7 linked regions of the Rattus norvegicus genome follow. The protein of the gene in region 7 interacts with the protein of the main gene of each other region in a pairwise test. Links are inferred from orthologs where the notes say so. Each region holds a gene or a part of one and is shown on either strand. Other genes may lie near its edges.

Region 1 (3,494 bases), on a different chromosome or scaffold from region 7:
TTCCTTATCCAACCACATCTTTGGGGCAGCTGAGGACTAGCACTGTACAGAGATAAGAAGGAAGCAGGATGCCCCAAGGCCCTTTCTGGCTCCTTTCCTAAGGTAACCCTTGTCTTCTGAGGCCCTACTCTTAAGGAGAGTGAGGACCAGCAGGTCATGACAACCAGCAGAGAACAGGGCAGGGAGGAGGGGAGAGGGGCTAGCCTGTGACTGGGTTAGACTGTGTCTGAGGGCATGGGTGTTGGGAGGGAGGGAGGGCTGGGGTGAAAGTGGTGGTGGGAGTTTCACCTTAAGAGACCTGGCTGGGACTGAGAAATAGAACGCACACTTGGAAGGACAGCATTCCAGACCTGAGGGTATTCAGGGGTTTGAGGCAAAGGTAGGATCATATCAAGGGGGCTGGGTACCAGGACTGGCCAGTAAGGACGGTTTTGAGGTTGTTGCCGCTTCCAACGGTTCTGAAATCATAACTCTGAGAGCACTGAGGTTTGAGAATTTATAGAGTTCTATAAAGCTTTATTAAGTCTGGCCTTATCTCTAAAATAGAAACATATAAAATCCCACACATTCCCTTTCAACATTCTTACTGGAAGACCACGGCTTCTCTGGGAGAACCCAGAGCAGTCTTCTCTCTTATTTCTTGGCATCTTGGTCAAGGATAGAAGCCAGTTCGGCCCAACTTAGGTGAGTGAGATATTTAATCGGTTAACAGGAAGTGCTTATATTCAATACAGTATCTGAACACCAAGGGAGAGAGGCCAAGAGTGGGCAAGCTAAGGGCTCATCTAAATCAGCTCCATTCCCTGGCCTCCTGCTCTAGTGAGGTTTGCATATCCCTGGCTGCAAGCACCCGGGTTCTACGACAGGGAAATGGAGCTCTCTGGTCTTAAACTGCTTTCCAACCACGTCTGCATTTGTTGGGTAGGTGACGGTTCACAGGCCAGGTGGGTACAGGCGCCACAGCACACCTTGAGAGATGGCGGACCTGGGGTCTGCCGGATTCAAATGACTTGGTCTCGTCCCTCATGGCATATGTACAACTGAGGGCCCCTTGGGAAGGCAAACTGGCAAGCCAGACACTAGTTGTCTTGAGAGGCAAAAGGGAAAGGCAGAAAAAAAAAATCAATCAGCTGAGAAGATCAGAGGTGCAGACACCACTGGGCACCTAGAGGAGGTGAGGAGAATGGGGATCTTCCCTGAACCCCTTGCCAGGGAGCCGGTAGAGTGGAAGGGCCAACCAAGGCAGCAGAGCGGGCGACAGGAACATGGGAAGGGGCAGCCTCTGGATGGACTTTTCTTCTTGGAGCCCAGTGTGGAGGAGAAAGAACATGCCTAGCCAACAGAGCAAATGTAAGTACCAGCATCTCCCCTGTGGGCTCAGGCCTGGGCAAGGGAGACAGGAGCTGCAGGGCCTGGGGAGAGAGAAGGCAGGGTCAGAGGGACAGCCAAGGAGCAGGCACTGGGGATTGCTGGGTGGGTGGTTAGTCAGCTCCTGATGCTGAAGTTGGATCTTATGCCTGGGTCAGGGCCAAACAGCACCACCGTGAAGGGAGTGGGTAAGAAAAAAAAAAATGGAGAAACCTGCTTCAGTGTGTAATTATCTGCAGATCCCCAGCTGAGATGGTGGGATGGCTCAGCAGTCATCTCTTAATAGACAACTGATGGTGAACAATGGGGCCCTGTAAACATGGGTGTAGCTGGAGCTCCTCAGGTGGTAAAGGAGAGACATGGACACTTCCAGGAAGTCTGTCTTACTCTGGGCACTCTGAGGACAGCTGCTGGGGAGGGGCTGTCACAGCTTTCATAGAGAAGGGCCCTCCTTCCTCCAGATGGAGCTTTGGGGCACTCACCATGTCTCAACGTTACTCAGAGTCCAACAGTTCAAGTAGCATGTCCTCATCATCTTTGAACTGAGGGTAGAGAAGGAGAGAGACAAAGGAGTGGTCAGACCAGCCCTGAGAATTCCCCTTTCATTCTGGCTCAGCTTTCCTCAGCCTGGGTTAGTACTGGGACCCGAGGTGAGGTGGCTAGCCCTCTCAACGGGACTGTCAGTGACTACCACAAGAGGGTTCCTTGTGACAAGGGGTTTGGCTAAGACCTCAGACGATGGCTTCTTTTATCCAACCCTTAGAGAAACATCTGCATTTAGTTCCCCTTCTATTAGCTTCTGGTGCCAGGGTTGAGGGAATATAGAGCTAGCCCATGCCAAGACCAGAGACCAGGATCACCCAAGACTGCCCACTCAGTCCTTGGGGTAAGAGGTGCTTGCCTTGATGTGGTACACTATCTGCCAGAACTCGGAGTTACTGCTTCGGTACCTTTCCTCAGGGTATAGCTGCCACATTAAAGGCAGCTCATACGGCACCAGCTGACTTGGGGTCATGGAATCCCCCAAGATGACATCTTTCTGTCGCATGATCACCTGGAATTTTCCGTTACTCTGCAGAGGCAGAACAGAAAGAACACAACCTTTGCCTCCTGCTGACTACTGTTGGGCTCCTCTGAGCACACCACCAGCAGCCATTCTGTCACTCGGGGGGCGTGGGGCTATCCCCACAGCCTGAGCACAGACACCAACCCTGGACCCAACTCTATAGCCCATGCACAATCTTAGGAACTCTGGCTGGACCTGGGTTTAGTCATCCTCAGGGTGCTCTTTTCCTGCCAACCTCCTGTTGCTAGGGTAAACCATGCAGCCCTCCGGTTTGGTCCCAAGAGTGTGTATGGGGAGGGTCATGCATGCACAGCAGAGAGGACAACCTTGGGTGTCATCTCTTGGACATTATCTACTTTTTCTTTCGTCTATTTACTATTGAGACAACATCTCTAATTGGCTTGGAGTTCACCAAAAACACCTCACAAGAAAACAAACAAACAAACAAAACCAAAGCCCAACCCAAACCAACCAAATGAAAACTGGATGGTTTGGCTGGTCAGCTCCAGAGATCTGCGTGTAGCTGCTTCCTGAGTGCAGTCTCCATAGCCATCCTCATACTTACAAGACGAACACTTCGGCAACCTTACCCAGCCTTGCCAGGTTATCTTTTTGTCCAGTGTCCTCTTTTAAATGAGGTCTCGGTCCATGGACCTGCTGTGGAAACTGTAAGTGAAATGCACTGTCTTTCCTATCAGAGGGTTAAACGAGATCAAGGAGCCACCACCTCTAAAGAGGTTGGCATGGGACCCATGAGCAAAAATCCCTCCTTAGAGCCCGAAGTTTTCTAAGATCTAAGTATGCATTTAAGGTTGCGATCTGTTTTCAAAGTTATGCTTCGCTCACTGACCAACAGTGCAGCTCTGAGTCACTCAACCACATAGGCATGGAGTTGACCAACGGGTGTAAGGCTCTGGACCACTCTGGCAGGAATACAACTTCATGTCTTTGGATTGTGTGATCATTCTCTTGAGGACACCCTGCACCCCCCCCCACACACACACTCATTTCTAACACTTAGAATCTGGCGACAGCAACATTTCTCCTTCACTAGCATGGC
Region 2 (4,107 bases), on a different chromosome or scaffold from region 7:
AAGGGACTTTTACACCTGTCATCGGTGGGGTGGGAGTTTCATTGGTTGGCGGTTACCATTTCACGATACTTGTTTCTGGGTAGAATTGAGACTGTATCAAAAAGCACTTGGAAGAGGAGTTTTGGGGGAAAACAAAAATTGCGTGCATAAATCTATATTTAAATATATATCTCCTTTTGTGGAGGGGCATAACATCTCAGGTATATATAATTTTTGCCCATTGAAACAAAAAAACAATTCTCTGTGGAGAATTTTCCAGCAATCATCTGGTACACAGGCTCTCCTTAGCAAGCAGCAGCACATACACTTCAGTCACACGAACATACATAACAGCGACGGGAAGTCAAAATGTATTTGCTTTATAGAAACTTAAATGAATAGCCACAGACAAAATTATCTTTGGGTTGGGAATGGGGAGAGGGTGGAGGTTGGTGAAGATGATCAGGGAGATTAGTGGCAAGGGGTTAATCCGTACCAAAAGGGACCAGTATCCTTTTTGGGGAAAAAAAAAAAAAAGGAGACTTAAGAGGAGATAAGTGAGTTTTAAACTAATAATCATGATGATTTCCAAGGAATCACAATTCTGGTGATGAGAAGTAACTAGCCAGTCCTCTGCAGCTGAAACCACTCCGTGGGAGTACAGACAGCAGAAAAATCTCCCCAACCCCCATCAGAACCCTTGCGGACAAGCGGATTGATAGCCAATTGTGGCAACTGAGAGTACCTCAGGACACTGCGCAGAACCCTCCTCTGGGATACTCCTGCGGGGGCGAGCACCCAGTTCCGAGAGGAAGGCGAGAACTGCAGGGCTGGCCCGGGTCCACGCGCGCGATCGCCACGTGCGTGCTCGCCAAGCTCACAGCCTTGGTTCTAGCAGCGAGGGGTGCGGCCGAGCCACGCCCCATTGGAGGACCCTCGGTGGGGTCCATATCCCGCAACACAGTAGGCCGTGGGCTTGGAAAAAGGTCCTTGGGTTCTGCATGGGCAAGGACACTTTCCCGAACCACAAGGAAGGGGTCACCTCTGTGGTCCAGGGGCCCGGCAGGGCGCGGCTGCGTCTTTGTGTGGCCAGGCAGGGATGGGCTTGGCCCTGAGACCCTGAGCCAGGCCAGGTGTCTGCACACCCTGAGGGGTTCGAGGCTATTCTGAAAGGCGGGGCTAGAAAGAGGGGTGCCAGGACTGCACTGTTCTGCAGCCCCACCCAAGTTCGTGGGAGCCAGCTTGGAACCTAAGTCTCCAGGGCTCCGCAGACAGGGTGGGGCAGGGCAGGGTGGAGCCAGTCCATATCTTTTTTCCTGCTGTGCATCCACAGCCCGGCCTAGGGGAGGGGGCCTTCCGGCCGCCTCCCCAGTGCAGGTCCCTTCCAGCCTGTGCACCCCAGGGCAACGAGAGAAGCACAGGACCTTTTCCGAATGAAGGCCCTGGATCTGGACTGGACTCTAGTGGTTTTACATAGCCCAAAAGATTTGGCTCCGTCTGACCCATAAAATTGAAATTTCACGTGGTTCATCTTAAAGACCTTGACCTCTTTTGCTTTATATCATCCTTACACTTCTTTATCTGTATTATTTTCTGTCTACCCTTCTAAGTTCCCTAAACGTCCTCCCTCCCTCCCCCCCGAAATGATCTAAGGAGTTCAGAATAGCTCCCCACCTCGCTTCTTTCTCTTTTCTGATTTTTTTCTTTTGCTACTACGTCTAAACATCCTATTTAACGTGGTTCTGAGAAAATACGTTAACCCACTCTCCTCTCGTCCTATGAAGAACAATGAGGCCAGGGTGGAGCGTCTGAGGTTAGTGGTCAGGTCTCTGGCAAGCAGACTGCTAGTGAGTGAGTGGGGCGTGGCGGGACTCCGCTGTTTCCCCAGGGTTGGGTTCTTCAGTGTCTTTCTGGGCTACCCATTCGCCCCCTTTACTGAGGGTGCAGAGCTGGGTAGGGATGGGGACCGCTTGACTCCTCACAGGGTGGGGCGGTCCGCATAGTGTGCCCAGCGCTGCAGGTGCCCCCCCCACCCCGACCATAGCTTCACACACAAAGAAACCCCACCCCGGCGCCTTGGGAAGCCAGGTCCCTTTACCCCTCCCCACCGCGCAGGCTTCCCCGCCCCTGCAGCTGCCCACCCGCGCCCTCCACGCCCTCCTTCTGTTTGCCCTCCCTTTTCCTAAAACAAAGAAGCTAAGGTCCTACCCCACCCCTCCGGCCGCCTTACCTCCCTGCACCGCGCCCCAAGACTAGCGATTTTTCCGAGAGACAATACCATTAAATGTGCCCACTCCCCTCCCCCGTTCCCACCCATCTCTCAAACCTCCCGGATGGGACCGCTTTGACTTTGCATTTTCTCTTTTATTCCAGTATCACCCCTCCCGTTCCTATTTTCTCTTTAAACTACAGAATAAATATAGGGCGTTCCAAACCACTTTCCGAAATGTCCCTTCACCTCACTGAAGGCAGATCGTTAAGGTAGCCCCCTCCCTTCTTATGGCACTTAAATTTTAAATATGGAAGCAGAATAAAATTTCTGCCCATCGTAGGAAAACTTACCTGCTTCTATCTTTTAAAAAGAAACCATTTGCTTTAGTTTTTCAAAGACCCCCCTTCCCCTTTAGTCTCTTATCTACTCTCAGAGCTCCCGCCGACCTTCCCAGCTCCTGTATCATGAATGTCTTTCCCTTTATAAAATATCTTTTAATGTCTTCAGAGAAAGGGGAGAGATTGCTCCAGATAGAGCCTGTGGGGAGCGAAGCGCGATTCTTACCCATTGCTGTTTTAGCCATTGTAGGGATGTGCACGCTCGGAGCGGTGGCAAAGGCGAAGGAGAAGGGTCCAGCTGTAGCCGCGGAGAGAGCGAGAGAGGAGTCTGAGTAAGGCACTGAGTCTGCAGAGTGGGACCGTGCTAGAGAAAGAGCGAGAGGCAGGAGCCCATGAATAATTATCACGCAGAAGCTCAAGCAGATTGGCTCTCAGGGTCCCCTGACATGACTCCTGCAGAGTCAGAATCTCCAAGCATTAAATATTGATCGGCCAATGGTGCTGGAGTACAAAGTACCAGAATGCAGTTTGAAATGGAAATCAGCTCTTGCCTGGAAGCTCCCCCCCAGTTTGGAGCCCGATAGTACAGTCCAAGTGCAGTGGTGCCTTAGCCAGGAAGCCTCCTAGGAGCTAAGGACTGGGCTGTGCTTATCTGTACCCAGGAGGCTATACTTTGCTTCAAACATGTGTCACTGCATAGATTGGCAAAGAGAAGGCCCAGGGGCCTGAAAACTCACCCCAGTGTGCCGAGTGTCGGAAAAGTGGTTTAAAGCTTATGTTATTACTGTTTCTTGTTTTCTCTTTCACCTTTGGCCTTGCCCTTGGTAGATCCTGACCTTCCTAATAGGTGATGGAATTCCCAAACTAGCCCACGTCTGATTGTGGTAGTAGCTCAGATATGGCCAGGGCTACTCGTTTTCCCTTCTTGCATAGTTGGGCTCCATAGTCCATAATCTCAGGAAAGTTTCCTAGTAGAGGGGGGTGGCCTGGCCTTTCCTCTCTAACATAGAGGAGAGAACTGTTGGCTACTTGGGCACAGGGATATAAATTCCACCTAAGGACATGATGCAAGAGAGCAGGAGAACCTGGACTAGGAATGGTTTCCCTGCATTCACAGTCAGATTAAGCAGTATGAAGTGCAACGAACTTTGAAACAAATTATAAACAAGGCATTTACTTATTCATTTATTCATTCACTTAAAAAACATTTAGCAAATGTCCAATTTTTCTCAATTCATACATATATATGTATTAATATATATATTAATAAAAGGCATCAGTCAAGATAGATATGAATCTTTTAATCCATCTCACTCTCTTATCCAATCAATAATAACTCACTATCTGTTTTACAGTAATTTATACTAACCTATCCCCTCTTTGGAAAATCATACAGAGCTGTGGTGAAGTGGATGGAACTCCAAAAAAGCCACAACTGTGTGTATGTATATATATATATATATATATATATATATATATATATATATATATATATATACTGAGCATCTGCACTGCACTGGAGAAAAAGCCTTAGGGATATAAGTCCTAGGACTTTTAATGTACAAGACTGAACTTTAC
Region 3 (4,052 bases), on a different chromosome or scaffold from region 7:
CAACCTAGACAGAATGCTATAGTAAAATGCAAAGAGAGCTGGAAATGACTCAGTGGATAACGCACTTGCCACGCAAATATACGAATTGGAGTTCAAATCTCTAGAACCCGCATACAAGCCAGGCAGGTATAGCAGCCACCTACAATGCCAGCGCTCTAGAGACAGACAGGAGTCATCAGAACGAGCTGACTGGCTAGACTAGCCAAATTGGCCAGCTCCAGGTTCAGGAGGAGGCTGAACTTAATAAATAAGTAAGAGAGCAACTGAGAACCTCCAGTGTCAACTCTGGGCTTTCACAGGCATATACAATGTATGGTACATGGATACCATATGCAGACTCCCCCATACCACATACACATGCAAAAAAAGTAAAATGCATAGAAAAAGGCCTGGGAAGAAAACAACAAACTGGTAACCGGAGTAGAAAAAGGAGTAGGTATGTCAAGGGAGTTTTATTTGGAGCAATTTACAAGCAAATATGCATTCTGAACTGCTCAAACTACTGCAACTCCAGGAGCTGCCAGCACAGAGAGACTCCAGTGCAAAAGACACCCTAGAACAGCAGCGTACCTCCAGCACATCTAGAAACCACAGCTCTAATGCTTATGTAATTTTAAGTTAATAAAATAGAGGGAGGGGTTGTCCCCAAGACAGCAGGAGTTAACTTTCTCATGATACAAAAGTATATATTTTGATTGGGATAGGTTACAAAGTACACATGTCTTTTCTTTTTTTGTTTGTTTTCTTGGGGGAGGGACTTTTGTTACTTTGTTTTGCTTTTTTTGTTGTTGTTGAAACAGTGTCTTCCTATGTAACCCTAGCTGGACTTGAAGTGATCAGCTTGCCTCTGCCTCCTAAGGACTTCAATCTAAAGACATATGCCACCATGCCCACCAATATGTACCATTTTTTCAAAATACCCAACTCAATATGCAAAGTCTATCCATTTTATCCTATGTAAACTACACATGAAGAAGGCACAGTAGTGCACACCTGTAATCCCAGGACACATAGATAGGAGAATAGACATAAGTTCAAAGTCAGAATGACAGAGAGAGACCCTATCTTTAACCCAAACAAACAAAAAGTTTGTTTTAACCAGCCATGGTGCTTCACAGGAAGGACTAACAGAAGGATAGCCACAGTTCAAAGTCAACTTACAGCCTGGGCTACTGTATTTCGAGTACCAATATAGCTGGGGTTACTACTCAGCAAGACCCTGCTTCAAAAACCGGGGGTAGAGGGTTTATTTTCAAATAAATGTAAATTAAATATCTAAATAAAATATTAGAAGTGCCCGAAACAAGACACCCAAATTTGCAAAGCCACATAGGCACCCCAAAACAAAACCTAAGAGAGACTTAATGGTTGTACCCTGAAATGCAAATACTAATTAAAATGAACTAAATGAATATACTTCAAGGCTTCTATATATCCAATGACAAATTTGGATTAATATTGCTCTTATTTTTTATATAAGGAGACTAAGGGTCAGATATGTTAACATCTGAAGACATGAAATAAAGGGTAACTGGAAATCCTGCGCACTCTAATATTTTAACTATATTCTGTCTCCCGGGCAAAATTCAGTGAAGCTAAAGACCCTGCCAGCACCACCTTGCCTGCACAACCCCTTCAGAGGCAGTTCCACTTAAGTCTGATAAAAATCCTCAGAGAACACATAAAAGGTCAAGTTTTAATTTGGCAAGCAAAGTAATCCAACAGGCATTGCAAGCCAGGGAAAGGAAGCAGCAGTATGGGGCTGGAGAGTCCAAGCAAGGCAGAGGACAGAACTCCAGCCCTTACAGACCTGAAGAGACTTAAGCATTCTCTCACCTCAGAACCAAGATCCAAGAGGCAGGATAGAAATTATAAAGTGTTCTCTAGGCAAAAGCTCCCTCCAGTCCTCCTCAAACGACAGAGGAGGGGGGAAAAGGCCAATGAGAGAAGGACCGGAACCTGACTTCAAGCAGCCACCCAAAGAACAAGCTTCTGGTGCACAACATACAAGAACCGCGTGGATGAAGAAGTGGCCACAAGCCACCGGAGTCTGCCACCTAAGCCACTGGTTTAGCGTCTAAAACCCTGGGTTACCTGAGAAGGCAAAAAGAGAATCCTAGGACCAAAGGAAGCCAGCGAGCATCCCTAACTCTACAGAGACTGACACTACTTCATATCAAATGTATCAAACCCTGGTCCCTCCATCCACTCCTGCAGTGGGCATCCATTGTAGGGCTTTCGGGATCCAGGCCACATCCTGAGGACTGGGCAGAAAACAGGCGCGGAGCTTAATTCTAGTTGGGAAGGCAAGATTCTCCTTCCAAATTTCTTTCCCCTCTCTTTTAAATGTCAGTAAGACCCTTCAAATCTCTTCCCAATAGCTCCCACCAGCTTTCCTCAAGTATCTTACTTTCTCCACAAGCCAAGCAACTTACGGCCCAGTTTCCCAGGGCTGGGAAAATCCTAAAGAGACCTGAAGTGAACAGAACAAGAAACATAAAATAGAGCACTTTACATTTTGTGTGTATACTTTCACAGCCGGACTGTCAGCACTTCAACAGCAAATAAATGATGGTTGAGAGTGATAAAGTCGTGACCCGGGCGCTGACCGCGGTTCTCTCCTGCTCCGTAGCTAATCAATAAACGCTTGCAGAGAATGCTAGAAAGGTCTCCCTGATTCCCCAAGGCCTGGCACAGGAATTTAACAGTAAGCATTCGTCAGCTGCATCCTCGCTCTTCTCGGGACACTGTGCCCATCAGAGGTGACCTGAGTAGACAGGTTCGTCTACCGGGAGCCTCGGGAGACACTGAGAGGTGATCTGGAATGAATTCCCTCCCCTCTGCCAGGGCCTGCCTACCTCACCTGCCCTCTGCCAGGACCTGCCGCCTTCGCCCCCTTCAGCACCTAACGCTGAGCCTCCTCCCCGCAAGTCCGGCTCAGGCTGCATCAGCAGCGCGCGCAGCCGGGTTCTGCGCTCCGCGGCCCCCCGCGCGCCCGGGTGACCGGAGAGCCCTCTCCGGCCCGGCGTGCGGTCTCCCAAGGGTCGCCGTTCCAGGGCCGCGCGCTCCGCCACCCCGCAGCCCTCCTTTTCGCTCCTCCAGCCCCGGCGGACTCCCCACCTGGCTCGCTTCCCGGCCGAAGCTGAGGGGCCGTCGCGTGGCTCTCCGGCGGCCGCAGCCTCCTCCGACCCGGCCCCCTCGGCAGAGGCAGCTGAAGCAGCGGCAGCGACTGAGGCGGCGGCGCCCACTCAGGCCCCGGAGCCGCCCCCGCGGCGAACGTTCCTGGCGCCGGCTCGCGCCGCTTCCCCGCCCGGCACGCGCAGCGAGCCCGCCCCCGGCGCGAGGGCGCGAGGGCGAGGGCGAGGGCGGGTGCGCGCGGAGGGCGGGCGCGCGGAGGGGCGGGGCTTCCGCCGCCAGAGGGGGCGGGGAGGCGGCCGAGTGCCCTCCCGCGGGTTTGCGCGCCCCCTCCGGGCCTCTGCTGTGCGCTGGCCGCGGAGGCGGAGGTGGAGGCGGAGGTGCGCTTCCACTCCACAGGTAGCTGCCGGGCGGCTGGGTGCTGCGCCGACGTGACTGAACCGTAAGGAATGCGAAGAAATACCCGGTGAATCATTCACCCGCGCCTCGAGCGCCGGGTCCTCCCCCGAGTGACTTTCCACATTGCCTCAGCAGGCTCGTTTGAGCACTAACTCATGCGCCTGGTGCCCGGTGGACACGATCTGGGTCACGGCCCTGGTCCCCAAGAGCGCATAACTTAGGGAGAAGAGCAGCCTTGCGAAGGACCGAGTCCGGTCCTCTGCGCAAAGGCAAGCCACAGCCGGATGCGGTGAGAGGATGAGGAGGGACAGATTACTTTCCGCTTAGTCGTTCAGTAGTTCCTGAAAGTGGGAGTATTTGGACATTAAACAGCTTGGACAAGGGAGCAGGGGCGACAAAGCTTCATTTATTTATGTATCTATATTTATTACCAACTCATCTATCCTTTTTTAAAGCATTTATGTTTTATTTTATGTGTATGAGTGTTTGGGCTGCAATGTTTGCACCCCGTGAGTGCC
Region 4 (3,500 bases), on a different chromosome or scaffold from region 7:
CAGACAGCTACATAGACACAGACAGCTACACAGACACAGACAGCTACACAGAGACATATACACAGACACAGACACACAGACACAGATACACAGACACACAGACAGATACACAGAGACATATACACAGACACAGACACACAGACACAGACAGATACACAGACACACAGACAGATACACAGACACAGACAGACACACAGACACAGACAGACACAGACAGCTACACAGACACAGACAGATACACAGACACACAGACACAGATACACAGATAGACACAGATACACAGACAGACACAGACATAAAATTTTTTTTAAATAAAGTTCAGTGTTAGACTGGTAAGATGGCTCAGTAAAAATTTTTTTTAAATAAAAAAGTTCAGTGTTAGACTGGTGAGATGGCTTAGTGGTTATGAACACTGGTAGCTGTCACAGAGGACACTGGTTCAATTCCCAGCACCCACTTGTCAAATCACAACCATCCATCACACCAGTCCCAGGGAATCAGATACCTCTTCTGGCCTCCAGGAGTCCCAGGCCTTAGTGCCCAGACATGTATACAGACAAGACACCCACACGCATTAAAATAATAAATAAAAATTCTTTAAGAGGTTGGGGATTTAGCTCAGTGGTAAAGCACTTGCCTAGCAAGCGCAAGGCCCTGGGTTCGGTCCCCAGCTCCGAAAAAAAGAAAAGAAAAAAAAATTCTTTAAAAAAGTCCAAGATTGGGCCGGTGAGATGGCTCAGCAGTTAAGAGCATTTGGTGTTCTTCTAGAGGTCTGGGAGTTTGAGTTTCAGCGTCAGATGTTGGCTCACAACCATCTACAAAGGAATTTGATCCCCTCTTCTGCTATGCAGGTGTTCACGAAGACAGACCACTCATACACTTAAAAAAACATGAAAAAAGGGCCTGGGGATTTAGCTCAGTGGTAGAGCGCTTACCTAGGAAGCACAAGGCCCTGGGTTCGGTCCCCAGCTCCGAAAAAAAAGAACCAAAAAAAAAAAAAATGAAAAACAAATAAATTATAACAAAACAAAAAAGTTCAAGGTAGTCTTAAGCTATGTAAATTTGAGGCTGGCGTATATGAGACTACCCGTTACCACATCATCTGTCTCCAACTCTGGGTTGGCCCTGACCACTCCCTGGGTCCCTCAGCCCTCCTGTCTCCTCAAGCTTAGCCTCTTACTGAGCTCTTGGTACTGCTGGTCCCTCAGCTGGACGTCACTCCTTGCTGCTCCTGGGAGCCCCTCCTAGCTGGTCCCTTTCCGCCATACACGTGTGTCTGGGCAAAGGAAGCCCTGAGTAGACCAAGTTCTGAGTGAATATATGTTATGCCATGGGCACGTCCTCCTATCCCAGCATGGGGCATGCAGAAGCAATCACATCTTTATGAGTTCAAGGCCAACTTGGTCTATATAGCAAGATATGGTCTCGAGAATTTTTTTTTTTTTTTAAAAAAATAGAAAGGAAAAACTTGCAAGTCAGGTAATGGGGACTGAGATGGCTCAGTTGACAAGCACCTTGGTTTTGGTCCTCAGCGCCTATGTAAAAAGTCAGGTACAGTGGCACATACCTGTAACCCAACTTCTGGGAGCTGGAAACAAGGGGATCTGTGGCTCACTGGCTAGCCAGTATAGGTGACTTGGTAAACTCCAGATTCAACAAGAGACCCTGTCTCAAAAGTATAAGGTCCACGCACACACGCACATGCATGGTCATTGCTATGCCTTTTGTTCCAAGCAAGGCAGCCAGTCTATAGTGGCCCTTGATGTAGTTCATGAAGCCAGGACAGGGCTGGAGGGAGAGGTGGGGCCATGCAGGGCCTAGGGGAGCAAGCAGAGCCATGCAACGGGATCCCTGGAGGCCCTTACAACAGTATGGTTACCTGAAGATACTCTGTCCCTCCCGGGCAGGGCAGCGTGTTGGGTGGAAAGGGAAGGGGTTAGTGTGGCCCTGGATGTTGCTGGGACCGAGGGCAACATCGGGGACGAGGGTCCTCACCTGGCTCTCCACCAGCATGGCCATGTCCATGAACATATCGTGTAGCTCCCGGATGCTGTTCTCCAACTTGATGATCTCACTGTGCCTGGTCTCGATCTCACTGAGGGCCTGCTTCGAGATGCTGGAGTCCATGATGATCTACAGGGTAGAGCAGAGGGACCCTGATGCTGAGGAGAAGGGCTGGACTGTAAGGGAGGCTGTCCTTTTTTGTTTTGAAATCTATACATATATGTTTGTCTGGGTATATGCACATGAGTCTGGTGCTTGAGAAGGCCAGAGGAGGGTGTCAGAGGCCCTGGAGCTGGAGTCACAGGTGGTTATGAGCTATCAGACATGAATGCTAGGAACCAAACTCATGTTTTCCAGAAGAGCAGCAAGGACTAATGCGTTTATAATGACCACAGAGTCATTTCTCCAGGCTCGAGAGTTGTGTCAAGTTCATATAATTTAGAGTCACCCGGGAAGAGAGTCTCTCCTCAATGAGGATGACCTAAATCAGCTTAGCTAGGGACATGTCGATGAAGGACTGTCTTAATTATCAATGTTAACTGATGTGAGAAGACCCTGCCCACTGTGGGTGCTGCCATTCCCTACACAGAAGATCCTGGGCTATGGGGAGAGAAAGCTAGCTGGGCACTAGGCATGCAAACATTCATTCTCTCTCTCCACTTTGACTGCGAGGTGACTAGCTGCTTCAATCCTGTCAGCTAAAACATGACCCCTCTCCGTTGAGTTGCTTTTTTTTTTTCCTCACAGCGATAGAAATGAGACTAGAATAGGGGCCAAGGAGGAGGCAGCTGAGTGAGTAGAGGTTTCCCAAAAGCAGCAGCCACAGCCTTTCCAACCTCCTGTCTGGCACCATTGCTGAGTCTCTGTGGGACTTGATTCCTGTCTGAAAGAAGGAGCTCGTGACACTCCCCCACAGTTAGTGCTCGCCACGTGACTGTTTTATTATGGCAGACATGGTGTCCCTGAGAGGCATAAGCAGGCCAATCTCTGTGAGATCCAAATCACCCAGGCCTACACAAAGAGTTCCAGGACAGTCAGAGCTACACAGTGAAACATTGTTGCACAAAATAAAAAAAAACACAAAAACAAAAACAAAAAAAATAAAGAATTTGCATTTATTACTTGTTGCACATGTATGTATGTATGCTCATGCAAGCATGTCCAACTGCACACACGTGAAAGCCAGACAGGAGTCAGTTTTCTCCTTTCACAAAGAGAGGCCTGGGCATCGAATCCAGGTACTTAGGTTTGGTGGCTGGTGCTCGTACCTGCCGAGCTGTCCTGTTGGCCCTGATGGGGTTGTTTTGAGACAAGATCTCATGAATCCCAGGCTGGTCTGGAACAGGCTATACAGCTAAAACTAAGCTTCGACTTTTAATTCTCCTGCCTCTACCTCCTCTTCCTCTTCCTCCTCTTCTTCCTCTTCTTCCTCCTCCTCCTCCTCCTCCTCCTCCTCCTCCTCCTCCTCCTCCTCTTCTTCTTCTTCTTTTTTAAAG
Region 5 (4,064 bases), on a different chromosome or scaffold from region 7:
TCAGTGGTAGAGCGCTTGCCTAGGAAGCACAAGGCCCTGGGTTCGGTCCCCAGCTCCGAAAAAAAGAACCAAAAAAAAAAAAAAAAGCCGTATTTTCAAGTAGGTCCCTCTCTGTCCAGTCTTCCCCTGTCTCCTCTGCCCAGACCTCGTGTCCCTCTGGAATCTTTAGTCCCACCGGGATGATTAAATTGGATGACCTTCAGAACTCCCAAAAGCCCTTGGTTTTGATGATTCATGAGATGATTTGATGTAGCGTCAGAGAATGCAAAGCACATAAATTAACTCAGAGAAAGGTAACTGGAGGGGCCTACAAACAAAACAGCCCATGTCCCCAAACAAAAACCATGGGCCCTTGGTCCCCTGTGACGCTCTGGAGAATTAAGCCCACCCAGAACAAGGCAGAGAAAACTCCACACCACTCCCCCTCCCAGCACGGACTCTCTGCTCACTGTCTGCATCATCCTCCACAATAGCAGAGTCCTCTGTACCCCACCCGCGCACACACACCAGATTGGAGGCTAAACCATCTTCTCAGTATTGCAGGCCTTTGGATAAAGGCAACTCCACCCTGCTAGCTCATCTTCTAACAGCTGTCCCGAGGTGGCTGAGGTGGCTGATGTGGGCAGCCAGCACATACAAGCCATCAAGGATCCTCCTCAGACTGAAAGGGGAACCTTTTCTCGCCAGTCAAGCACTTTTCATTCCTTTCCAATTTGCTTCATTGTTTCCTTTGCCATGCACTCTTATTTGCTCTCCTAGACTACAAGCTCAGTGACGCCCTACTGAGCAGAAGGCAGTCAGCAGGCACTTGTTGGCTGAAGCCTTGTGCTATTCATTTGGCCTTCATTTTCCTTGGGATGAAAACTTCCCTGACTTTCTAAGATTGGGCTAAATGTTCCCACAGCCAACAATATCAAATAGTATCACAACTTATTTTATACATTAATTTTCTAATACGATGAGGGGTTATGTCTTTTCCACTCGCCTGTGGTGGGATTTTAATCCAGCAACATGGCTACTCAGATTAGAACACTGACATGCCCTTAGCACACACCTTTTATCCCAAACAATGAAGGTAAAGTTAGTTTGTAGAAGGAAGCAGCCATGTGATGTCTACTTTCAAACTGAGAGGCAGACAAAGTGACGAATCAGAAAAAGATTTGATAGAATAGGATATGCCCAGCTCTCAGGAAAAGAGAAAGGAGAGAGGCAACATAAGAGGGAGCAGAGCAGAGGGAGAGGAAGGAAGGGAGCTTTACTGGGAGTTTTACAGAGGCAGGTTGAAGAGAGAACAAGTTAGACACAGGGAAAGACTGAATGAGCAGGAGCAGAAGGTTAGAACAGTTCGCTAGAGTGAGTGAGTTTGAAGCCAAGCAGAGTAATTCAGTCAGAAGCAAGAGATGCCAGTTTGAGTCAGAACAGCTGGGCGCTGAACCAGCCAGCCAGAGTTCAGAGAGAGCCAGGAAGGGTGAGCTTATTCAGCAGTAAGTCTCAGAAGCTGAAAACATTCTAGGCTTCTACAGAAGCTAGAAGTTTCTAGGATTAGTCCTAGGTTAGCAAAGCCTTTTTTTTTTTTTTTTTTTTTTTGGTTCTTTTTTTTCGGAGCTGGGGACCGAACCCAGGGCCTTGCGCTTCCTAGGCAAGCGCTCTACCACTGAGCTAAATCCCCAGCCCCAGGAACAAGCCTTCTTAAACAACCACCCCATCTCTCCAGTCCCTGATCAATATTTTATGACTACGTTTACTCTGTAAAACAAAGGATTAAAATCTAATCCGATTACCAGTCTTACTAGACAAACCTTCCAAATCTGAGTTTTCTCAAGTATAAACACTTCACAACACCTTCTGAGAAATGTCCACATCACTCAAAGACAACACATTTGGGAGGTTTTTATGGGCTTCTTTTCATACAGAACCTTTCAAAGCTTGTAAAACTTCGAACCTAGGGACATTTGGGAGTTCTTCTCGGTCTCACACAAAACGGACTTGCTTTCAAAGATCCCTTCGGATTCTATTTGACTTAGCAAAAACACAGCGCAAAACACACCCCTGTAAGAACAAAGGTGCAATTGCAATGCTTAGTAGGGATTCCTAATCCATCCAGAACTGGCTCCGTAAGATTCAAACGAGTGTGACATCCGGAACGTAGGGCTCAGAGGGGTGTTCTCGAATCTTACAGATCCCGTGCAAGAGGATTGCGGAAGCAGCGGCGTCGTTTGTTTTCCCCAGCTTGCCTGTCTTAAGGCTGCTCCTCGACCTTCCAAACAATTATCCCCAAATCCTTGCTCCAGTCACCCACCAAGTTTAGCGCCTGCACTATTTCTCTCCCGGCAAGCCATTGGGGAAAGGCTCTGGAATGAAAGAAAGCAATCCCAGATGGCTTCAGCACCAAAATTTCAGGGGAAAACCATTTCCAATGAGCGGCTCACAGCCAAGTCTACCACGCTTACCAGACAGACGCTCCCAGTTAACCACGGCCTCCAGAACCGTTGGTTCGCGGGCAAAGACGAGTGTCGCGGTGGCATCTGGGAGTTGTATTTTCTGTCGCAAACAGAGCGCGTCGGTAGCATTACAACTACATTTCCCGAAAGCCAACGCAAAGACGCCCTGCCTACTGAATCTGGGGCTTGGCTGTCACTAATTTTTAGGCTAATCTTTAATTATATCCCACTTATACTAGGAATACTACAAAGCACCTTTATTTGTTCGTTTTTTCTTGTGCGATAAACATCTCGGGGCATCCGTACTCCTTAATTTCCTTTACCCTTCTTCAAGCCAGCGCCTCCAAACGTCGAGAACGGACAACGCCGCGGAGAGCGCATGCGCCTTGGCCGGCGTCGCGCATGCGCAGCAGCCGGCCTTAGCCGGCGGCGCGCGTTGGACTCGGGGTCCGGAGGTACTCTGCCCGAGGGCGGGGCTGCTTCCAATGGCTGCCTTTGCGGGTCGCGTGTGCCTGGGCGGAGAGGCAGGCATGGGGCAGGGGCGGCTCCCGGCGGTCCCGGGCGGGGACAGGGGAGGGGCTGGGTGTGAGGACCCCGTCTCCCCTCCCTGCTCCCGCCTTCTGGGCCGAGCCCCACCGACGGGGCTGGGCGAAGGGGCGGGCTCTGTGCCTGGGGCCCTGTGCTTCAGCAGCGCAGCCCGGGGCTCGATGACTGCTGGGTCGCTGGGTGCCCTCTGGCTTGGCGGAGGTGGGCGAGGACAGAGGGGTAAGAGAAGCACGGCGTACCCCGGAAGACAGGAACCGGCAGGGTCGGCGACGCTGCCCTCTGTCGCCGCTGACACAGTGACTGGTGGGCACTGGAGTCCCCGGAGCACCGGAGCCTCAGGCCCCAGCAGCTAAGGGCCAGGGTCTACCGCCTACCCCCGCCAGCAGCCCGCCCGCTGCCCTGCCGAGGCGCTAGGAGGAGCCGACAGGGGCGGAGACTGGTGTCGGAGGAGGGCGGGGTGGGAACACTAGAAAACTGGCCGCTGCACAGACAAAAAATAAAAAAATCGAATGGCTGGAGAACCTTCTACTGTTACCAGCCTTTTGGGACCAAGCACGGATTTGACAGCTCCACAACGCGAGGATATCCGCTGACCCTGCGACACCGAGAGCACTTCCCCGAGACTCCCTGTCCAGCTAACCAGCTCTGTGAGATTGCAACTTTCCAAGTTGGTTCTTTTCCATCTCTGTCAGAAGACTGCCCTTTCGTGTGGGAGAGGGTGCCTGGGTGAACCGCCTTGTGGATCGATTTGAAAGCATCAACTTTAAAAAAGCACGTGTGATTCCCAGTGCCATCCAGACGCCTGCTTTCGTGACCGCTGGATTTTTCTGACTTTATTCTTAACCAATCTCTCTCTCAAAAAGACTGAAAAAGAAAAAGCTCACGATTGTCAGTCATGGCCGAAGGAGAGAATGAAGTGAGGTGGGAGGGTCTGTGCAGTAGAGACCCAACTACTAGAGAGACAGCACTGGAAAGCGTTAGGCAGATTGTTCTGAGAAAAACCGAGTACCTTCGTTCTGCCAAAGAGACACTTTCTCGACCTTCGGACGGGCTTTCAAATGGTGTTTCTTTGGATGG
Region 6 (4,051 bases), on a different chromosome or scaffold from region 7:
CACAAGTCTTCCTCTGACTTCCACATACACTCTGGCTGGTTGCGTGTCAATATGACACACAGTATAGTACTATCATCAGAGAGAGAGAGACAAAATTGAGAAATAACTCCACAAGATTGGATTGTACATAAGCCTGTAGGGTTTTTTCCTTAATTAGTGACTGGTGTGGGAGGGCCCAGCCTATTGTAAATATTTTTGTAAAGCATTTTAGGCCATGTATCCAATATGAATCTACTACATAAGTTAATAAAGGTCATGCAGAACACATGATAAACGACTAGAGTTCCTTAATCTGCACAGAGAAAGAGCTGTTCCCAAACTACTTAGCAGCAAATGCCAAGGGTGTACATTTACTAGCATCTCCAGATGTCTCTGGTGAGTAGATTCATGAACAGCACACAGAGTGAGAGCCCTTCCTCTCTAATAGCTGGCTACAGCAAGTGGTGTCACTGCCTACATTAATACCTAGGTTAGAAAAAACAGTATGCTCTTGAGAAACAATTGTAAACTCTGTTCAAAGGTAGATCTAAGCTGGCTCTGTGGTACACTGCTTACCTACCATGCATTGAGGCCCTGGCCTCAATCCCAGCACACCATATACGCAAAACTGTTTAACATATAAGGCAGCAAAATTGGGGGAACAGATGCTCAAATGAGCAGCCGTCATTCTTTCAGGGGCATATTAATGAGCTAACAGGATTTCATATCTTCCATTTGTACTTTATATGTTTATGATACGGAAGCCATGGCAAAGTCCACTGTGATAACAGATGTAAAAACCTTTGGAAAGTACACAAGAAACCCCAAATGCAAATCAGTAGTAAATTAGCCCAGAGGTTAGGGTTTGTTCAGACTTGTGACACCTTCATCTAGATCAGAAGTTAAGAATTCCACAAACAGCCCCAAACATATTTTGTTTACCACTCAGTAGACTGAGATACTACAACTGTCTGTTCCTGATAACCTCCTGTGGAGGGGGATTTGGCTGATGGGTGGACCAGGGCACTGGAGAGCTGTTGTGTGACAGCTTCAGTTCAGGCCAACAAATACTAAATTAAGTTTCTATTATGATGTGTTATATATGATGTTAGATATGGGAGACCGGTCTGTTCTTGAAGGTTTTGCATTCTTCTTTAATATGGTAAAGAAGAATCTCTTGCTTGGGTTATAGGAACTGCTTTCATATAATAAAATGTTGCAATCTCACCGTGGTTGCTTCAGTCCTCAAGTATCAAAGCAGGTCATCAATCCTTACGGGACCAGTGTGAAGTAGGCTAAATGTCTAACAAACTTGTCTTCTGGACACAGAGAAATGTGACAGCGAACTGGCACTGTAGCTGCTAGGCAGCTTCAATTATAGTAGTACAGGATCTGTTTGGGCTTAGGTCATTTGCACATTAAGAAATCAAGACAGACAGAAACTTTAAAAAAAAAAAAGCAAATTACCACCTCTCCAAAAAGCTACCTGTTTTCCTTTTCTACTTTCTAAGTACGGGTCATTCAAGCTCAAAACTACCCCCGTCCCCCACCGCCCCTGTCAGATTCACTGGTGTTTAACAGCCAACTCAAAAAGATATTAATTTTCACGAAAAGTTTGGAGTGGGAATAATTACACAGAATAGCACAAGCAGGATGCTTGAAAGGATTCCCGAGGACCCCTCTGTATGGTGGTTAAGAATGTCTACTCTGGAGTCTACAGTGAATACCTAGTCTCCCCGACAATATCCACTTCAGCCTGAGGTAACTATTGCAGCACCTGGTGCTATTGGGGGAATTAAAGGAGTCTAGCAGGGTGTTAAGGGTTTATCGGTGTCCTCAAACACAAAATCCTACTATGAATGTGGAAGAAAATGGGCCACTGGATTCAGACTGGGGACACTCTTGACATTGTCTCTGGAGATGTCCAAGGAAGGATTATTTTTCATTGAAAATCCGAATGCAAAGATAAGGACATGATAGAGCTGCCCTCAAATAATTTCATCTAGCCTCTGATGAATGATGGCTAAGTAATAAATTAAAACACACACACAGAGTTTAACACTGGGTAGGTTATAAATTGGGATGCTAAGATCTGAAGTGTCTACAGACTCCTCATTTCAAGTGTGTGTGGCATCAAAAATACTCGCTCCCATATTCGGCTTTGGGGAATCCACTTAAATCTTTTAGCTTCTGCTTTCTGGAAAACGGGATAACAAAAAATTATTCCCACAGAGTGATGGCGCGGGTACCGCACAGCAGTACTGCCCCCCCACCACCTGCAGCGGCTTGCAGAGTCTGCGGACCATGAAAGGCGAAGTGGGGCGGGCAGGGCAGCACGACCCGGAGCCAGGTCAGCAGCTCACTTCTAGAGCAAGTCAAGCTGGTTCACCCCTGCCCACCTCAGAAGTCCACTAAGGGGATGGATCCGCTCATCCTCCGCAAGCGCTTTCTTAAAGCGCCAAGCATCAGCCAGGGTGGCGCATCCGCAGGGCCGTGGGCCGCGCGCGCTTATTCTCTGAGGTCGGGATGGGCGGATCCGTTGCCAGGTGAGCGCGAGAAGCCCCTGGCCGCGCATCCCAAACCTCCAGCCTAAGGAACTTTCTAGCACTTTCCACACCTGCCACCCCCGGATTCCCACCCCCAACCTCCCAGCGACCTCGCCCTCACCTTGCTGGAGGTCCCGGTGGTCATACCAGGGCTCATCCTCTATCTCGAACTCCTCCACAAGGTTATCTGCCAGCATGTCGCCGGGGACGTCCGGGGGCAGCGGGCTTTGCCGCCGCCCTGCCGTTTCGGCCGCTGCCCCGGGCTCTCCCCCGACCCCGCCACCCTCAGCCAGAGCCACCCTCGGGCGGGACGCGCCGGTCCCGCTGCAGCTCCCGCCGCCGTCCCGCGCCGCCCAACGGCCCGCGCCCTAGCGAGCGCGCCCCGGGTGGCGCCGGGAGCCGGCTCCTCAAGCCCGCTGCCCGGCCCAACGTGGCACTTTGGCAGAACCCTCCCAAGCCGGGGAGACGATTCAAACCCGGGAGGCGCCTTGACCAATCACGAATGAGCCGCTTGTAGAGTGACAGCGACCTCAGCCAATAGAATATCAAAAAAGGTCGCGGGTCCGCGGACCATCAGCCAATAAAGGCTTAGGAAGGAACAAAGGAGGCGGGGAGGCGAAGAGGGTGCGGTCGGCAGCTCCTCCTCTTTTGTCTGCGTCGCGTCTCCTCAGTTGAGTGCACTCCAGTTCCGGAGTGTGGAGGAGGTTTCAAGCCGATCCAGTGTGCCGAGGACTACGGATTCTGGGCACCGGGCATCCTCTTCCCACACGAGGGTTTCAGATGCGGGTCAACTCTTCTCCGCCCTGTCCTCGGTGGTGCGCGGAGGGAGACTCAGGGTCCGTTGCGAGGTTAAAGGCGAGAGAACGCTACTGAGAGAAAGCTGCTCCTCAATGTCGGAGCCCTTGGCCTCCCAGGAGCATGGACGTGAACTCCTAAAGGGCAATCACCAGCCCCACCTCATACTTGGAGTCTGGGGCTGGCCAGTCAAAGCCGCCTCCCCTGAGAAAAGTTACCACAGTTTTAAAAGCATAGAATTTCTTAAAGGTTCGTAGAGTGTAAGATAAACACCTAGGAGCAGGCCTTGTACTTGGTGGCCAGCTTGCCAGAGTCAGCTTGTTGACGCAGTCTTCACCACTGTTTCTTGGGTTAGACTTTTAGCATATTTGGGTACCTCACATTGGGAAACTCTCAGACGGAGAAAGGTCGACGCAGATGTTTGGGATGTTAGAATTGATAACAGTTATGGAGAAAGGAATTGTAGCAACTGAAGAGGGGAGAAGAGTAAATACTCAGTTTGGTAGTACTGATTTGGTAGATATCTCCTGAAGTTATTAACTCCTTGGCATAGACCCGGAGTGTCACCAAAACTAAAGTGGAAAGCAGTTGTAAGTTTGCCTTAACCAAAAAAAGCATCAGTCGTGGCCTTAAAAATAGTGTACACAGATTACTATGGTTTAAAACAGAAATTGCTAGGAAGAAGTTACAGATCCTCAGAGTTAATTTTATTTCTCTATATAAATGAATGA
Region 7 (3,972 bases):
CATGTAGGAGCACGTGGTACTTTGCAGAAAGTGGGGCAGGGCTGAGTGGGAGTTTACCAATCCGCCTAAAGCCAAACCTCCTTGCTACAATCCCCTCCTGAGGATCCAAGCTGGTGATGTCAGAAGGCGGGGCATACTTGGTCTCAAAGCCTGTGATGGCGGAGAATGGTTAAGATGGGTTTTAGTTGGATCTGAGGTAGAAGCCAGCATAGTCAAAGACTAACAGCCAGGGCTACACGGAGAAACCCTGACTGGGCTGGGTGGAATGGAATGGGGCACTGGGGAGAAGATTAAGAAAAGGATGGGTGGTGTCAGGCTTCCAGGTTTGAATCCGCAATAAGCACACAGTATTGATGGATGGAGCCATAGATTATTTACCCTTTACCTGGGCATGGTGGCCCGTGCCATTAGTCCCAGTCTTGGAGAGACAAAGACAGGCAGAACTCTTGAATTCAAGGCCAATTTGATACACCTAGAGAATTCGGGGCCTGCCAAAGCCACACATGAGACATTGTCTCTAACAAACAATAGTACATACTTTTTTCTTTTAATTAGCCTTTTCCGTACTGCCCTATATTTCCCAGATCTCTGAGTATAATGTTCTTTCTCTGAGTAATTATGAGGACCAAGCTATTACATACGAGGGAAGAACACATTGTTTGGATTATTATAAACCTTCTACTGGAATGGAGAGGGGAGGGATACTAGGCACATAACAAATTAGTGGTTTGGGCGTGAGATAAATATCTCCTAATTCACAGTTTACCCTTCTTTCTCTCTTCCACTCGCAAGTCCTCAGAGATCCTAAAATAGTCATACATGTTCATAAGGGAGTGTATGAAAAAAAATCCAGACTGCCAAAGTTTAAGGGCCAATCATAGTTTCTGTACTAGGAAGGAGGCTGACACGAATCTCTAGACCGAATGACATAATTTCGGACCCTCAGGGTATTTGGCTCCTAAGCTTTTCGGTTGCATCTCGGGAGTTGTGACCTGCCGCAAGGCATGAAGGGACTCGTAGTTTTTCCCACTCCCGCCTCCAAAGCCGCCTTGGCCTCTTTTCCCAGCAAGCTCCGCGCCAGCGTTTGCTGTTGATTGGCTGCCGCAGGAGAGGGTGGTCCAGCTGGCAGCAGTTACCCAGGTTTCCGGTGCTCGGCCAGAGTCGGGGACGCGGTCGGACGTCCGCGGTGAAGTATGTCTTTGGGCTGTACACGGGACGAGCTCTTCAGAGGGTCCATGACCCAGGACGCGTTAGCCGCGGAGGAACAACTAATTCTGTGGACGGGGTGGGGAGAGTTGTGTGCTGCCGTGCTGCGCATGCGTACTTCGGGTCTAGAGGGCGCGTGGGGTGTGGGTGTCTTCTGTGTACGCGCGCGCGCGCGCGGGAATCCCACGTGGGACCTGGTGGGGCGGGGGGCCGGTCGGGACTGGAGCATCCCGCCACGTCAGTCTGCGGCTCTGAGCCAATCCCGCGCTCCCGCTGCCGAGAGGGAGCCGTGTGGTGCTGAGAAGTGGCATTCAGGAGAAGGGAGGCCTCTTCCTTCCTTCACTCTGTGCTGGTGCAGCTTCTCGGAAACCTTGCCCGGGACCGTGAAGTCTCAGGCGAAGGCCGACCAGTTTGTTTGAAGCTTAGAGCTTCAGATTTGGAGATTTCTCATCTAGGTTGTGAAGAATTTTGAAGTCTAGAAAATAGCAGCGGTGTCCGTAAAGGATCTACCCCTTTTCTGGCCTTGCAGATCACAATGAAGAACCAAGACAAAAAGAATGGGCCTGCCAAACACTCCAACCCGAAGAACAGCCCTGGGCAACGGGAAGCAGGACCGGAGGGAGCTCATGGACGGCCCAGACAGACAGCTCCTGGTGCGGAAGCTGAAGGTTCCACAAGCCAGGCTCCTGGGAAGACCGAGGGTGTGTGCCAGCTCTGCTTTTCCAGTGGGCAGAGGGAGGAGTTTCTGGTACTTGCATCTATCTGAGGCCAGTATTTACCCAGGAAGGAGGAACTATAGAATGAAACAATGCCCATTCTGTGATCCTCATGTTTCCTAGGGAGGTGATGAAGCTTTCCACTCTTAGCCCTGGAACGGAACCTTGGGGGCATGCTCTGACTGGTTTAAACCAAATGACAATCAAATGAGGCGCCCCATAAGCAAAGTCATATTCCCACTTGCCAGTGCCCGGTGATTAATTGTCCTTCATAAGACAGAGCGTCTGCTACACGTCAGTCGTCCCTCTTGTAGGGGTGCTTTACACAGTTGTCTTTGATGGTCATAACAAGTATGTTTGGGTGTTAGAAATAATTGTTTCGTCTTATAAAAACGTTTTATACGACTTAGGGTTTAAAAAAATTAAATTGAGGCCAGGCATAGTGGCCCTCACCTTTGTTCTCAGAACCCAGAAGTCAGAGGCAGGTAGATCTGAGTTTGAGGTCATCCTCATCCTCATAGTGAGTTCCCAGACAGCCAAGGCCCTGTAGAGAGAGCCTGTCTCAACTGAATAAATAAATGGAACGTTTAACCCACACAAGTGGTGTTTGTCTGGGCTTAAAGAAGAAGAAAACCCAAGGGAGCGGTGTAACCACCTAACGTTCACTGTCTTCATCTTGTAGGCGCTCGAGCTAAAGCATCTCAGTCTGGGGCCCTCTGTGATGTCTCTGAGGAGCTGAGCCGACAGTTGGAAGACATTCTGAGTACATACTGTGTGGACAACAATCAGGGAGGCCCAGGTGAGGAGGGAGCTCAGGGGGAGCCCACTGAGCCTGAAGACACAGAGAAGTCCCGAACCTATGCAGCCAGGAATGGGGAGCCTGAACCGGGCATTCCAGTCGTCAATGGCGAGAAAGAGACCTCTAAGGGGGAGCCTGGCACAGAAGAGATCCGAGCAAGTGACGAGGTTGGAGACCGAGACCTTCGAAGGCCACAGGAAAAGAAGAAAGCCAAGGGTCTAGGTGAGGGGGAGCTCCTGCTGACGGGAGGGAGTGAACACTTGCCATCTCATGGGCTAGCCTGCTCTGTCTGGACACAAGAGAATCTGCTTTTCAAGACAGTACATCCCCCCAGTTTAGTCAAAGATGGGGTCATCCCATTGAGCTGTTCAGATCACTCACTTGTGCAAGGCCTCCTGGCCTTGGGAGCCAAGTGGAGGCAGGAATCCAACTAGCTTTCTCACTGGGAATATGGAAAACCGGAGGGAGGCCTAAGTGCTCGACAACACCACTTTCAACCTGCTGTTTGACTTTGGGCATGTTTATTCTCCACTCCTAGAGAGGGTCTTAGTTTCCCTGTTTGTACAGCAATAGAATTGGGCTACACCAAGGTTGAAATATCAACATGGACCAGGTAAGCCACAGACCTCTTCAGAATCAAGAAAGGGCCTTCTTGATCTGAAAACCTGACTCCTACCTGGTTAGTCCCCCAGTCGCATCTGACCAGCTGAATAATTGGTAACCAAAATAATAGAAAGTAAGCAGAGGCCTCCATTGGTTGGATTTGCCATCTCCGTGTTACCTTTTGGGCCTCCCAGGGCTGACAGCTCAGAACCTGGTCTGTGCTGAGTACAGTGGAACCCAAGGGAGACAGCTGTAAGGCTTCCCGGCTGAGGTAAAGCAAGGCAGTGGCAACCTGGCACCATGGCGTACACCTTTAACCTCAGTACCTGAGAAGCAGGAGCAAGTGCATCTCCTGAGTACCAGACCAGCCAGCTGCATAATGAAACCTTATCACAAACAAAGGACAGGAGTGATGGGACAATGTGAAAATACGAACTTAGAACCTAATGCAAACCAAATATGGTAGTGTATGCCTCTAATGGGGAACTAGGAGGAACAGAAGCAGGAAGATGCTGAGTTCAAAGCCAGCTTGGGCTACATAGCAATACCCTCTCTTTGTGTGTGTGTGTGTGTGTGTGTGTGTGTGCGCGTGTGTGCGCGTGCGCGTGTGTGCGTGTGTGCGCGTGTGTGCGCGTGCGTGCGCGTGCG

Evidence for each region.
Region 1: the proteins of Txlna (region 7) and Tcl1a interact in binary tests that used the Homo sapiens proteins (3 or more experiments, as listed by UniProt). The two-hybrid records come from large-scale screens. The link is inferred for Rattus norvegicus from reciprocal best matches to the Homo sapiens genes TXLNA and TCL1A.
Region 2: the proteins of Txlna (region 7) and Stmn2 interact in binary tests that used the Homo sapiens proteins (3 or more experiments, as listed by UniProt). The two-hybrid records come from large-scale screens. The link is inferred for Rattus norvegicus from reciprocal best matches to the Homo sapiens genes TXLNA and STMN2.
Region 3: the proteins of Txlna (region 7) and Dtnb interact in binary tests that used the Homo sapiens proteins (3 or more experiments, as listed by UniProt). The two-hybrid records come from large-scale screens. The link is inferred for Rattus norvegicus from reciprocal best matches to the Homo sapiens genes TXLNA and DTNB.
Region 4: the proteins of Txlna (region 7) and Stx1a interact in binary tests that used the Homo sapiens proteins (3 or more experiments, as listed by UniProt). The link is inferred for Rattus norvegicus from reciprocal best matches to the Homo sapiens genes TXLNA and STX1A.
Region 5: the proteins of Txlna (region 7) and Cep57l1 interact in binary tests that used the Homo sapiens proteins (3 or more experiments, as listed by UniProt). The two-hybrid records come from large-scale screens. The link is inferred for Rattus norvegicus from reciprocal best matches to the Homo sapiens genes TXLNA and CEP57L1.
Region 6: the proteins of Txlna (region 7) and Cdr2 interact in binary tests that used the Homo sapiens proteins (3 or more experiments, as listed by UniProt). The two-hybrid records come from large-scale screens. The link is inferred for Rattus norvegicus from reciprocal best matches to the Homo sapiens genes TXLNA and CDR2.

What each region holds. Positions count from the first base shown.
Region 1 is NC_086024.1:129,889,263-129,892,756, forward strand, and holds the end of Tcl1a (T-cell leukemia/lymphoma protein 1A), read right to left. Parts: intron 2,441-3,494; coding exon 2,270-2,440; intron 1,911-2,269; coding exon 1,863-1,910; 3' UTR 1,851-1,862; intron 1,413-1,850; 3' UTR 501-1,412; downstream 1-500. UniProt on the Homo sapiens protein: Enhances the phosphorylation and activation of AKT1, AKT2 and AKT3. Promotes nuclear translocation of AKT1. Enhances cell proliferation, stabilizes mitochondrial membrane potential and promotes cell survival.
Region 2 is NC_086020.1:95,156,536-95,160,642, forward strand, and holds the start of Stmn2 (stathmin-2), read right to left. Parts: upstream 2,801-4,107; 5' UTR 2,775-2,800; coding exon 2,756-2,774; intron 1-2,755. UniProt on the Homo sapiens protein: Regulator of microtubule stability. When phosphorylated by MAPK8, stabilizes microtubules and consequently controls neurite length in cortical neurons.
Region 3 is NC_086024.1:32,285,230-32,289,281, reverse strand, and holds the start of Dtnb (dystrobrevin beta), read right to left. Parts: upstream 2,801-4,052; 5' UTR 2,531-2,800; exon of another isoform or gene 2,516-2,530; intron 1-2,515.
Region 4 is NC_086030.1:27,282,472-27,285,971, forward strand, and holds part of Stx1a (syntaxin-1A), read right to left. Parts: intron 2,134-3,500; coding exon 1,996-2,133; exon of another isoform or gene 1,880-1,995; intron 1-1,879. UniProt on the Homo sapiens protein: Plays an essential role in hormone and neurotransmitter calcium-dependent exocytosis and endocytosis.
Region 5 is NC_086038.1:46,874,048-46,878,111, forward strand, and holds the start of Cep57l1 (centrosomal protein CEP57L1), read right to left. Parts: upstream 2,801-4,064; 5' UTR 2,742-2,800; coding exon 2,697-2,741; exon of another isoform or gene 2,571-2,696; coding exon of another isoform or gene 2,451-2,570; intron 1-2,450. Other genes in the region: Sesn1 (sestrin-1), read left to right, coding at 3,883-4,064. UniProt on the Homo sapiens protein: Centrosomal protein which may be required for microtubule attachment to centrosomes.
Region 6 is NC_086019.1:184,956,237-184,960,287, forward strand, and holds the start of Cdr2 (cerebellar degeneration-related protein 2), read right to left. Parts: upstream 2,801-4,051; 5' UTR 2,723-2,800; coding exon 2,647-2,722; intron 1-2,646. Other genes in the region: Mfsd13b (transmembrane protein 180), read left to right, coding at 3,416-3,569.
Region 7 is NC_086023.1:147,266,474-147,270,445, reverse strand, and holds the start of Txlna (alpha-taxilin), read left to right. Parts: upstream 1-1,172; 5' UTR 1,173-1,285; intron 1,286-1,735; 5' UTR 1,736-1,741; coding exon 1,742-1,907; intron 1,908-2,604; coding exon 2,605-2,943; intron 2,944-3,972. UniProt on the Homo sapiens protein: May be involved in intracellular vesicle traffic and potentially in calcium-dependent exocytosis in neuroendocrine cells.